3 linked regions of the Coturnix japonica genome follow. The protein of the gene in region 2 purifies or fractionates together with the protein of the main gene of each other region. This does not show direct contact. Links are inferred from orthologs where the notes say so. Each region holds a gene or a part of one and is shown on either strand. Other genes may lie near its edges.

Region 1 (3,800 bases), on a different chromosome or scaffold from region 2:
TATTGGCTGAAAAAATAGAAGAAAAAACTGATCTTGATGTCACATAGACATAACTTATGTTAAAAATAGTTTGGGGTCAGCTTGAACTGGCCAGGAGGTTCAATGCTTGTCAGTGGTGCTTTGGCTTTGAGTGGTTTACAACTGTTGAAAGCTTCAGGGGTGAACACGTACCTGGTCTCCCGTTGGAGCAAACTGCAGTATTACTCAGAGTTCAAAGAACTGTTGATTGCCCTTTTGATCTTTATGCTGCCTAGTTGCTGTTGCATTTTTCTGTCCTTTTCTATTTTACAAACATAAAAGATTACACTTGTTTGAATGGCTGCTTCAAATTAATAACACTTCATAAAAAATACGACTTTTTTTTTTCCAGTCCCATCTGCTTTGATATGATTGAAGAAGCCTACATGACAAAGTGTGGACACAGCTTCTGGTAAGATCTTTGTATTGCACAGATCATCCATCCTGTATGGTGCTTGAGACCTAACATTGCTGTGGACCACTTTCCTTGTGAGTTATTACTTCTGTTTTCTGGCCTTGCACTGAAGACATTGAAATCAAGTTTAAAAGGTGGTTGCTACCAGTTAGATTAACATAAAGAAGTCTAAGTATTTAAGATGAAGCTTTGTGCTGCCATATTTCTCCGTAGAGGGGAAAAAAATGAGAAGTTTTAAACTGCTGTTAGCACTCCAGGGTCAGGGCTGCGTCTGCAGGAGGGCTTTTTCTATTGCCATCTGAAGCAGTGGGTGTTGCTGTTATAAAGGTCATGAGAGCCAGTGTTGGTGTTGGCAGGTCCTCTGCTTTTGTGCAAGACCGTATGCAATTGGCCTCCACGTTATCTATTGCAATTCCATTAAACTTAAGACAGAGGGTGTGCTTCAGGCTTGCTTCTTTATTACCTCCTTTATATTTTTCTCTTTGCAAACTGTTTACTAGGAAACTACTATATCGAATTGGCTTGAGGTTCATGTATTTTTCAGTATGGTATCTCTGGCTTTCACAAGGAGCAAATCTTCTGTGGAGAAGGACACGAACCCTCCAGGTGCAGGTGTGAAGTTACCTGCTTCCCTGGTTTCAGAGAGGGGTTGGAATAAGTGTTGACCCATGAGGTTTTAATGTCTGGTGTGTGCTGCCCTCTTACAGCACCTGTTAAATAGGAAAATCATTTCCTACCTTTTACAAGTGGTAGTGTTTTAGGAGCATAAAACAATTACCTCGAGCAGCAGATTCAGTTAACTTTCAGGATAAGTTTTGTCTTGCATACAGGTAAGGTAACATTTGATACAAAGCACAAAACATAATGCTTCATTATAGATCACTGGGATTTCTTTATTCTAAGAAGTCCAAGATGAAAGGCGTAATTATTTAGGTAGAACAGAGCAATGATGTGTCATTGGATGTTTGTTTCAATTGACTTAAAGCTGGGTAGGGAGTGAGGTTCTTTAGCTCCATGCTGAAGTGCATCTTGTTAGTCCATCCCTCAAATAGCCAACAAGTTTATCACAGCACCTTTGGAGTGCCTTGTATTAAGAACAGCTACTGGGAGATGGGGTGAAAAATGTGAGACTCTTCTAAAGGTCTGAATGTGCAGTAGTTTTCAGTGTACTTGCAAAGTATTTGGCTGATGTAGAAAGGTGCTTCTGAATAATGCTGTCCATCTGCCTGCTCTACCTGTGGAAAAGGAGCATGAATTTAAGATGTGTGACTGAATTAGCCACATTGTCACAATCCTTACTGAAATAAAAGAGCCAAGTACTTAAAACACAGTTTTGTAATCCTTGCTAAGAACTTCAGTTTTTGCTGTAGCATGCCCTTAGTCAGTATTGGAGTGCTTTGACTCTACTGTAGCATCTTGGCAATGCAGCCATTAACTAGGCATCTAAATGAAGTACATGTTACCTAAGGTTTATATTCTTTCCTTTGTGCATATGTACCTTTTTCTTTTCTCTTTATTTATTTTTACTTAATTGTTTTTCTTTTAATAGCTACAAATGTATTCACCAGAGCTTGGAGGACAACAACAGATGCCCCAAATGTAATTATGTTGTGGACAACATAGATCATCTTTATCCTAACTTCTTAGGTGAGCCCTGGGTTTGTTTGTGTAAGTAATGTCTTGGTTGTGATGGGAGACATGTGCTTGTAAATTCATCCTATAAATAACCTGCTTGCAGAGATTGAAAATGAAGTCCAAGCATCATCCCTTTGGTCAGCTGTGTTTTAAAATAAATAAATACACGTGCTTAGTAGTTTAAATTGTTAATACTCCGCTGCCTCTAGCAGTTCTGTATGCTGAGTTATGGCAGCAAGACTCTGGCTTGCTTTTTATAGCATGTAGACAGCAGCGAAATGTTTTATGGCGACTAGAGATTTCAATCTCTGTAATTACTTCTGATTTCTTGTGCTGCCATTTGTTTAATAACCAAGAACTTAACGCTGTTTCTGAAGTACAGATGCTGATGTGGGAAGACTGAATTGTATATGGTGCTACTTTGACTGCCAATGTGGCTCATGTGATGCGTTTTAGTGTCTAAATTACATACAGAAAATCTTTTTGTGTGTACACAGTGCTTATTATTTGCTGCATAAACAAAGAATGGAAATAGTTAAATACTGTGTTACAGGGAAAAAAGATCAAAGTGAAACATGTTGGAGTATGAAATATCAAAATTGAACAAAATCTTGATTTCATAACTGGGATACCCATTTAATAATAGCCTCAGAGCCACAATAGCCAACAAATGTTTCAGAAACTGGCACGTTTGCTGGTTTTTTAATGTATCTTTATACTCTTCACAAAAATATGTCCAGATAGTAAATTGGTAGGAGAAAAATGTCAGCAACTTCATACTGTTTTAGATGCAAGTTAACTTTGTGTAATTGCAAATAAAGATTGGGATGGATTTTTCTCATTTTATTTGAGCTTTTAAATCTCTCTTCTGATATCTGGTTGTTTTTTGTTTGTTTGTTTTCAGTCAATGAACTTATTCTTAAACAAAAACAAAGATCTGAGGAGAAAAGATTCAAACTGGACCATTCAGTGAGTAGCACCGTATGTTCAAACTTTCTTACTTTATATTTATTTAAAGATTCTGTACAACATTAGTCATTATGTGGCTTGGTTTATAGGAGATTATATTGTCAAGCTGGTGTTTTAATATGCTTTATGGGGAAATAACACTAATGTTAGTGGCAGTGCATCTCCACAGCCTTGTTGACTCTAGTTCTTCCTGCCAGCATTTGTACAGGTAGAAGCAAGTTGCTAATTACTTAGCATAACTAAATGTCATGCGATGTACTGAATATAACCTGAGAAAGTACCCGTGGAAGCACGCTTATTTAAAGGTAATCATCTTTATTCAGTGTTGGAAATTACAGCTGTATTAAGACTAATAGTAGTACAGGCTTGTCTGATCATGTGCGAGAAGTTAAGTTCTACAGAGAAACTGAAGGATAATACTAACCACAAGAGGGAGAAAGATGTGTTTGGAGTACTGCTGTCCTGGCTCTGATCCCAGATGCGACTGCCTGGTTCTCTTCTAGACTTCGTTCATGTTGTGGTAGCAGAGTGCAATTTAGGCTGAGCTGTGTTCTCTGGAGGAAATCCCTGTGCTGTAGCAGTGGATGCTTTTGTATGTTTAAGATCAGAACAGTATATGATATTAATCAGGAAACTTGCATATTTGTCTTAGTACTTCTTGTTTCCTTCCTGGGCTTCCGTAACTCATAAATAAGGATGCAAAGTAAATTTGTTTTGGTCAGTGTAATATAAAAAAAGAAAATTAAATCTCTATTGAGGCCTT
Region 2 (4,410 bases):
GCCCCACCAGCGGGTGGGAAGGGCATAGGCACAGCCAGGGCTGACTAACACATCAGGGCAATGACAGATCTGCACTTAATGGTTTTCCCACCCCAACGCACCCTACGCTTACGGCAGTCAGATTTCGGTAAAGCCCAACCCCAAGTAGAGTTCAGGGAGCCCCACTGGGGTCAGAGGGAGTAGCGCAAAAGGTAAAGTGAGGACAGCACCAGCACTCAACTTAAATGCTTTTATTGACAATGTCTCTGAACAATAATAAGCAAACAATGCTTAAGTTTCATCCAAATTCACTTTCCACATGTCAAAAAAGACCTCAAGGTAGAAAAAAATAAAATAAAAATATAAATATCTGAGAATCCATCTTAATAAATAAATTAAAAACACAATAAAAACGTTTTCATGGAAAACTTATGTCAGAACATTCAGACCACCTCAACAACGCATGATCAGTAAAGTTACAATGAACATCGATGTAGAACTACAGTACATGGATATAGCTATTCATCTACCTACTAGAAAATAAAATAGAGTCTCTTTCCCCCCCCACATAAGATGGGTCGTTGCTAAGAACACGATATTGCCAGGAACACAGTAGTTATTGTTAATCAGCTGCACTAGATACAAGTCGGAGATACCCAGCACCAGGTTAATTCCAATCATTTAAAACCAAGGGATTAATTAGTTAATGCTAGTGATACTAAGGAGGGGGGGAGTCACCAACCCAGCCATGTGGGACATGCTACAGACTACCAGCTCTCACAGATGGGCCGTTGGGGACAAGACAAACTCCATGCGGTTTGCTACATCTCTGGAGGAGGTATGGGCCCAGGCACTCCATCAGGCCCCGGGCCTCAGATGGATGGGGTGGGGGTGGCGGCGGCAGTGCCCTCCCCAGGCCCGGGGGGCGTGGTGAGTCCGTGGGGGTGCGTGGGCAGGGGAGGGGGCCCGGCAGGTCAGTCAGTGCGGGGCGAGCCCCTCACAAGGCCAGCAGGGTCGGGGAGCTGAGGGAGTCAGACGACGGCTCGTTGCTGCTGCTGCCCTTCCGGTGTGCGGCAGCACAGCTGGGGAAGGCGTCCGCCTCGGGGTAGGTGAAGACGAAGGTGGAGGTGTAGGTGCTGGGGCACGGGGTGCAGGTCACCACGGGGGTGCAGAGGGGCTCCAGCTCCCCGCTGCTCCCGGCGCCCAGCGGCTCCCAGTCCGACGCGTAGAAGGAGGAGGCTCCGGGCAGGTCCATGTCAGGCACGGAGCGGGAGGCCTCCCGCGGCCCCGTGGAGAAAAGCAGCTCGTCGAAGGGCTCGGCCTTCAGCTCCAGCCCGCTGCCGCTGGGCTCCTTGGGCGGCACGGCCGGCGGCGCCTCGGTCATTAGCGGCAGGGCGAAGGTCTCCTCGGCCGCGGCGGGGCTGGGTGCGCCCAGGTCCAGCGCGGTGGCGGCCGCCAGCTCCTCGGAGAAGCGCAGCTCCTCGGGCATCTTGCAGGCGGGCCGGTGCGCCGCCAGGATGAACTCCAGCTTCTCCTTCTCCTTCAGCAGGTTGGCGATCTCCGCCTGCAGAGCGGACTTCTCCTCCTCCAGCTGGTCGGTCTCCTGCGGAAGCACAGATCGGGCCGTCAGCCGGAGCCAACCTCACCCGCCCGCCCCCACCCGCGGGGTCCCGTCCCCGCCCCGCAGCCCCCGGGATCCCGGGGCGGCACTCACCGCCTGCAGCGTGTCGGTCAGCTCCCGCCGCCGGTTGCGGCACTTGGCCGCTGCCATCTTGTTCCTCTCCCGGCGGATCCTCCTCTTTTCCTCCTCCTCCGGGGACAGCTGCGGACACAGAGGGCGGTCAGCGCGTCCGTCAGACCCCCCGCCTTTCCCCGCGCCCCGGCCCCTCTCCCGGCCCCCCATTTCCACCCCCCTCCTCTTCCCCTTAGCCCCGCTCACCTGCTCGACTTTGCCCCTTCGTCCGATGCTTTGCCCGCGGCCGCCCGGCGCCTTCAGCACGGCGGGGCGGGAATAGGCGGCGGGGGGAGCGGGCGGCGGCACGCCGTAGGGGTGCCCGCGGTTCTGGGAGGGGGCGACCGAGGAGATGAGGGTGGGCTGCACCAGCCACTGCAGGTCGGGACTGGTGGAGATGGCCGTCACGGTGGGTACAAAGTTGGCGCTGGACACGGCCAGGTCGGTGCAGAAATCCTGCGGGACATAAAGTGGGGGGGGGGTTCGGTGAGCGGGGGGCTGCGGCCGACACTCCCCTCCGAGCCGCTCCCCGCCGCCCCCGGGGCCGCGCCGCCAGCGCCGCTCCGCACGAGAGCGGCCCGATATAAATATCTCTGACGTCCGCGCTGACGCAGGCGCCGCTCCGGAGTCTCCTCAATGAACTCGCGTTTTATCAATGAAGCCGCTTTACACACCCGCCGCAACGCGCAGCCCGGACCCCGGCTCCCCCCGCCCGCCCCGCGGCGGCGTCGCGGCCGCTCCCCACTCTGTCCCCGGCCCGGTTGAAGCCACCCGCCCCCCTCGGGTCCCGCATCGCCCCGACCCGGCCCGAGGCGCGCCCCCCGCACCCATCTCCCCCCAGCACCCCCAGAGCCCAGCCCCGCGGCGGCCGCGCAACGGCCCCTCACCTGCGAGTTGACGGGGGAACCCATGCTGGAAAAGGAGTCCGCCGGGGACGGGTAGTAGGTGAGGCTGTCCCCGGCCGGGGAAGCGCTGCTGCAGCGGGAGGAGGGCGCCTCGTACTCCCCGGCGAAGCCCTGGTACATCATGTCGGCTGTTTGCGTGGCCGTGCGGGGGCCTTGCGGTGCTATAGCGGAGCGCCTCGCGGCAGAACGCAAAGAGGGGCCGGCTGCGTCCCTGTATCCGCTCCGCGCCGCGCGTCTCTGTCTCCGCTGCCGGAGCTGCCTCTGCCGCTGGAGTATCGCTCGGCGCCAACCCTTTATATCCTGCTCCGCGTGAATCGCACACGTCACGCGGGACGCACCACGCCCGCTCGCGGGGGGGGCCGCTCTGCCCGCGTCCGCCTCGCCCCGCTCTCCCGGCCCCGCCGCCCGCCCCGCTCCGCCTCCAAGTGCGGGGAACGACGGCACCGCGGGGCGGAGGAGGCGCGGCGGGGCGAGGGGAGCGCGGCGGGACGGGCGGGAGGAGCCGCTCCGGGATAACCCCCCCCTCGCGGAGTGGTACGGCCGGTCTCGGGAACCCACTGACGCAGATATCCTTATATGGGATACATCCTGTGCGAGGGGGCGTGACTGACGGGAAGCGCTCCAGGCTGCGGCCAAGTGCGGCGCGGGACGGGACGGGACGCGGTGGGACGGGGCCGCCCCGACCCCCCCTCGCGGCGCTCCCCCGCGGCCGGCAGCCCCCGCCCCGAGCGGCCCGGCGGGGCTTCGTGCTATGGGAGCCGGCCGCGGACACGCGTGGGGTGCGGAGGGGCGCGGCGCCCTTCGTCCCCTTTGCCCCGCGGCGGGAGGGTGCTCAGCGCGGCGGGGACGCGTCCCCCCGGCGGGGTCACGCACACGGAGGGCCGGGAAGGAGTGCGGGGCGGCCCGGGGCAGGGCAGCTCTCGGGGAAGCCCCCCGGGCGTCGGGACGGGGGCACGGGCGGGGGGCGCGGGGGGAGCGGCGAGGGCGAGGCCCGTCCTTTCCTCCAGTTTGGGTTTTGTTTTGATCCCCGTCGCGGCGAAGCCCGGAGACACCCACCCACGGCGGGGATGTCGGCAGCCCTGGCTCGGGGCAGGCAGAGCCGGCGGCCAGACCGCAGCCTCGCCTCGCACGGGAGCCAAGAGATCGCGGCTATAGATAGTAACAGGGAAGCTGCAGCGGCAGCGTGTTTACAGCAACAAACAGAGCCCGCAGCGCAGTCTCCAAGCAGGAGCGTCACCCGTGCAGGCTGGGATCCTGCTGGCAGCCTCTCCCGCTCTTTGAGCTCACAGTCTAAATGCGGCTCCTGATGCCGCTGCCGCTGTTGCCGCGCGAACAACCTCCGTTCTTAGAGATCTGGGCCACGGGGGCGGGAGAACTGGGCCAGCTGCTATTTCTGCGCTGCCCGTCAGCGCCGAGGGGACAGCCAAGGACTGCCGCAGCGCACGGCTCCGCCGTTCCCGGCCGAGGGGCCCATGGGCCGGCGCTGCTCTCACCGGCTCCGGGCCTGCCAGGGCTGCTCCCTCCATGGGACCGGCCCGGACCCCCCGCCCCTCGCTCTGGCCGCAGCTCGGAGAGCCGCCCTCGGCGCTGCTGCCGGAGGGACGCGCCGCAAACAGGCGATGCCGTGACCCCAGCATCGCTGCCACGTCCCGGGCAGGAGCAGGGGCAACGCGCCACAAACCGCCCGGTGTCCCTCTGGCCAAACTGCACCCAGAAGGAAGTTTCTGGAAAGCAGGTGAAAGTGGAGTGAAAGCTCCACCGACAGCCCCGAATGTTTTTGGGTGCCCGTGCAAA
Region 3 (4,239 bases), on a different chromosome or scaffold from region 2:
AGAAGTCTGGGTTTGGGATTGCTGCAGGCTGTGAGTGGAGACACCTCAAGTCAAGGAGCAGCACACCAGGACCCAGCTGCCCATCGCCCCACAGCTCAAAGCACAGCAAGGTGATGTGCTTTGTGATGGGTACACAGCAAGCAGGCAGCACAGGAACCAATCCTGCTGTGATGGAGCAATCCCAACACGGAGATGAGCAGCACTGTGCCCTTTCCCAGCTCTTCCCACTGCAAAGGGAACCCCATTTCAACATCAGTACAATCCATCTCAACACAGTGTATCCCAGCAGGTCCATGGATGCTCACACAGTGGTTCCCCACCCCCTTCAGTGCAGGAACTGCTCACACTGAGCTCTGCCACCCCCGCTCCATCTGTGACACCATAGGGTTCAGACAATGAGGCTGCAAGTCTAACATAGGAATTCATCTCTGAGTTCTGGTATAGTGCAAGCACTGCATCCAAACCTTAGTGGAGAATTGTAGAGCTTCCTACTGCATCATGACTTTAATAGAACCGTTAATCAAATAACTGTGGAGGCCCAGATCTAATGTCTTTTAATTAGGTAGCTTAAGGAAATTGTCTAATTCCTGAACTGCCACGCAACGTCCCAGTGCCCAGCACAGCAACAAAGGAAAGCAAGTGGAGGAGGCTGCACTGTGCATCAGGGTGAGGAACGGGCAGGTCCTGCAGTCCAGCTGCCTTCATAATAGCATTAATAGCAGGAGCTGAAAAAACAGCACCTTTGGGGTGTGAGCAGGATTACTCAGCACCACAGAAACTAGTGAAGGAACTGGAAGAGCTGACACAAACCCAGCGGTGCTTTCTGCTGCTTTATATCACAGGGGCACAAAGAGGGTTTGTCTGGGCTTATGAGGTGAATGCCAAAGGCCACAGTGCTGTCCTAGCGAGGAGCTGGTCTCTGCAAGGAAGGAAATGGGGTGACAGAGAGGAGACAGGACAGTGCTGGGGCAGTGGCAGATAAGAGCCCAGCGGTGTCTGCTGGACAGCTTTGGGTTTATTGGGAGCCCAACACTGCAACGTTTGGTAGAGAGCCGGAAAGAACACCAAAAGTTAAGGAAGTTCAGCAGTTCTGCAACAGAAACACAAATAATCAAAGAAAAAGTCCACTGGATGACTCAGAAGCGACAGTACAACCAAACCCACGAGCCTCTCTGGGAAGAGCTGCCTTCAACAGAGCACACAGCAGCCCTGAGTCACTGATTTCTTGGAAACACGGAGCTCAGTGAGCTCCTTCCCCTTGCACCAAGTGAGCTCGGAGGGAGGCACAGAGCTGGGCTCACAGCACTCAGAGCCTCGAGCACAGGCAGTGCTGGGAACACACCACTTCCATGGGCAGAACCCACTGGAGGAGAGGAAATCCCTTCCCAGCCCCCAGCAGGGAGCTCCATAGCACAAGATTCCAGTGCCGTGACCACGAGCTGGCAGCAGGCTGGGCTGCTCCAAACCCTTCTGATGCATCAACACAAGGGCTCGCCAAGGACTCATCGCTGGGAGTTCCCTGCTGGGTTACACAAACACCAGCTCCAGCTTCACAGCAGCACAGCCACGTCCCTGTGCAGCCCCATATCCTGATGCAGGGGGGGGAGGCGTGTTGCTGTAGGGGGTTATTTTGGTTTACAGTTGCTATGGGCAGAGCGACAGCACAGCAGGGCTTTCCTCACACACAGATATATACACACATATACACACACATCAGCGTGTGACTCACACGTGCTGACACTTTTACAGCCAGGTGTGGCTGCTGCTCACAATGCCCCACTCATCAACCCGGGATGAGATAGAGAGAAACATAGACGTCACCCATATGGGTAAATCCTACCGCCACGCCAACGTTACTATTGTCTGCAGCACGAAAGCACGTTGATAGATGGTATCGGGTACAAGAAAGAAGCACGCGTTGGTAAGCAAACAGGGTTATTTCGCATTGAAATAGACACCAGCACAGTTTGAGGCTCAATGAGAGCAGTGCAGGGACATAGAGCAGCATTGAGCTCTAAATACAGGCTGAGCCCAGCAGGGGCTGTGAACCCTTCACAGAATCACAGAATGACCCGGGTTGGAAGGGACCTCAAGGATCATGTAGTTCAAACCCCCCTGCCTAGCAGGGCCACCAAACATACACATTTATTAGATCAGGTTGCCCAGGAGACCCCATAGATCCCCACAGAGACCCCATAGAGACCCCATAGATCAGGTTGCCCATGGCCAAGTCCAACCTGGCCTTGAACACCTCCAAGGACGGGGCATCCACAACCTCCCTGTGCAGCCTGTTCCAGGGCCTCACCACTCTCCTAATGAAGAACTTCCCCCTAACATCCAACCTAAATCTTCCCTCTTTTAACTTCAAACCATTTCCCCGTGTCCTGCTATTGTCAGCCCTTTCCAAGAGTTTACTCCCCTCCTGGGAGTAAGTTCCCTTCAGGTATTGAAAGGCTGCAATGAGGTCACCCTGCAACCTTCTCTTCTCCAGGCTGAACAAACCCAGCTCCCTCAGCCTGTCCTCACAGTGGAGCTGCTCCAGCCCCCTGATCACCTTTGTGACCCTCCTCTTCAGTAAGGGCCTATAGGACAGAGCTCTGTGTGGATACAGGAGGGGATAACACTTAATGCCCCGAGGATTATTGCAGCCCTTCCTCGAAGCATTAACGAGCTCTAAGGGCTTTAATGCTGCTGTATAGGCCTCACACTGGGCCTACACAGCCCCACCACAAGCCGGGCAGCACTAAGGGCCGCTTTGCTGCTGGATAATAGACCCCCACACGCAGCCAAAGGGGGACAGACCCGAACCCAGGGCTGTGACCCGTTGTTTACTCCCCCTCCGGCCTCTCATAGTGTCCCACACCGCCCCATCCCGGCCCATCCCGGCCCATCACTCACCCATGGCCCCGGGGCCGGAGCGGCCGCTCGGCGCGGCCTCCTCTCAGCCACCTGACAGCGGAAGTGACGCACAACCCGGCCCCGCCCCCAAGTCATCGCCCCGCCTTCTGAAGGAACGGCGGCGCTCATTGGATAGCTGAAGCAGCGCCCGGATGTGATTGGCTGCGAGAGGGGTGTTGATAGAGTGATGGGAGGCGAGCACTAATTGGCTGAGTGGTGATGATTGATTGGCTGATGAGAGATAACTCTCTCCGTTGATTGGTGCATGCTGTGTGAGCGGGTTGGTCGGCGGGCGGGATGTTATCCGCGCTTTGATTGGAAGAGAAACACCTCAAGGCCCGCCCCCTCCCACCCGCGCATGCGCACTGCTCCACCGCCCCCATGCGTGGTGCTAGGCCTTAAGATGGACGCCATGATGGCAGTACCCCATGCACTGCCCACTGCCCACCCTCAGACCAGGCCCATGCAGGCAGCCAGGCCCCAGGAGCTATAGATACAGCCCTATAGAGCCTATAGGCAACGAGCACTGAGGCCAAAAGGGCTTTAAGAGCTGGAAATCCATAAGGAGAGGGATAAAGGAGCAGCTGCCAGCCCTATAGAGCCTGTAGGCAATGATCAGTGTGGCCAAAAGGGCTTTAAGAGCTGGAAATACATAAAGAGAGGGATGGAGGAGTAGCTGGCAGCCCTATAGAGCCTATAGGCAATGATCACTGCAGAGCCAAGCACTGAGGCCAAAAGGGCTTTGTTTGAGAGCTGGAAAAACATAAGGACAGGGATAAAGGAGTAGCTGCCATTACACAGGGATGGAGCTTCCAAGCTGGGCTGTTGATTGAGGAATGGGGCTCATTTGTGCTTGGCTCGAGGGAACTCCCTCCTGCCCTTGTCGCGGCCCCCGAAGTAGCGCACGCGGTGGATGGCCTGCAGCTGCCGCTCGATGGTGGCCCTGATGTCCACCCCATCCGGGATGTGCACGTAGCGCACGTTCCTGCCCGCCACGAACATCTCGTCCAGCTGCGACACCTCCCCTCGTCTGTCCGTGAACGTCACCTGGGCCAGGCGGATGTTCATGAAGGCGTCGACGTTGGACACTCGTCCCGTGGCCGTGCTCTCGTCGCGGAGATCCACGGTGGTGACGTGGCCGTGCAGACCTTGCAGCAGGATCACCAGGCTGTTCTCGGCGATGGTGCGCTCCTTGACTGAGTGGCTGACCTCCATGGTGGGGCTGCAGCATATGAATGGGGAGATGCACCACCAGCACCTCCACCTGCAGGACTCGTGTATATACACACCAGCATGGCAGCTCCATCGCCTGCCTCCTCCCCTTGCACGCCCAGTGCTCAT

Evidence for each region.
Region 1: the proteins of FOS (region 2) and COP1 purify together in Homo sapiens (affinity purification with mass spectrometry; 4 studies listed by BioGRID and IntAct, counting the BioPlex papers as one, with this or other methods). This does not show direct contact. The link is inferred for Coturnix japonica from reciprocal best matches to the Homo sapiens genes FOS and COP1.
Region 3: the proteins of FOS (region 2) and STK40 purify together in Homo sapiens (affinity purification with mass spectrometry; 3 studies listed by BioGRID and IntAct, counting the BioPlex papers as one, with this or other methods). This does not show direct contact. The link is inferred for Coturnix japonica from reciprocal best matches to the Homo sapiens genes FOS and STK40.

What each region holds. Positions count from the first base shown.
Region 1 is NC_029523.1:4,953,456-4,957,255, reverse strand, and holds part of COP1 (E3 ubiquitin-protein ligase COP1), read left to right. Parts: intron 1-370; coding exon 371-430; intron 431-1,982; coding exon 1,983-2,080; intron 2,081-2,972; coding exon 2,973-3,049; intron 3,050-3,800. UniProt on the Homo sapiens protein: E3 ubiquitin-protein ligase that mediates ubiquitination and subsequent proteasomal degradation of target proteins.
Region 2 is NC_029520.1:34,667,015-34,671,424, reverse strand, and holds FOS (proto-oncogene c-Fos), read right to left. Parts: upstream 2,901-4,410; 5' UTR 2,740-2,900; coding exon 2,599-2,739; intron 2,168-2,598; coding exon 1,919-2,167; intron 1,802-1,918; coding exon 1,694-1,801; intron 1,583-1,693; coding exon 977-1,582; 3' UTR 216-976; downstream 1-215. UniProt on the Homo sapiens protein: Nuclear phosphoprotein which forms a tight but non-covalently linked complex with the JUN/AP-1 transcription factor. In the heterodimer, FOS and JUN/AP-1 basic regions each seems to interact with symmetrical DNA half sites.
Region 3 is NC_029538.1:3,592,498-3,596,736, reverse strand, and holds the start of STK40 (serine/threonine-protein kinase 40), read right to left. Parts: upstream 2,994-4,239; 5' UTR 2,899-2,993; intron 1-2,898. Other genes in the region: U7 snRNA-associated Sm-like protein LSm10, read right to left, coding at 3,742-4,113. UniProt on the Homo sapiens protein: May be a negative regulator of NF-kappa-B and p53-mediated gene transcription.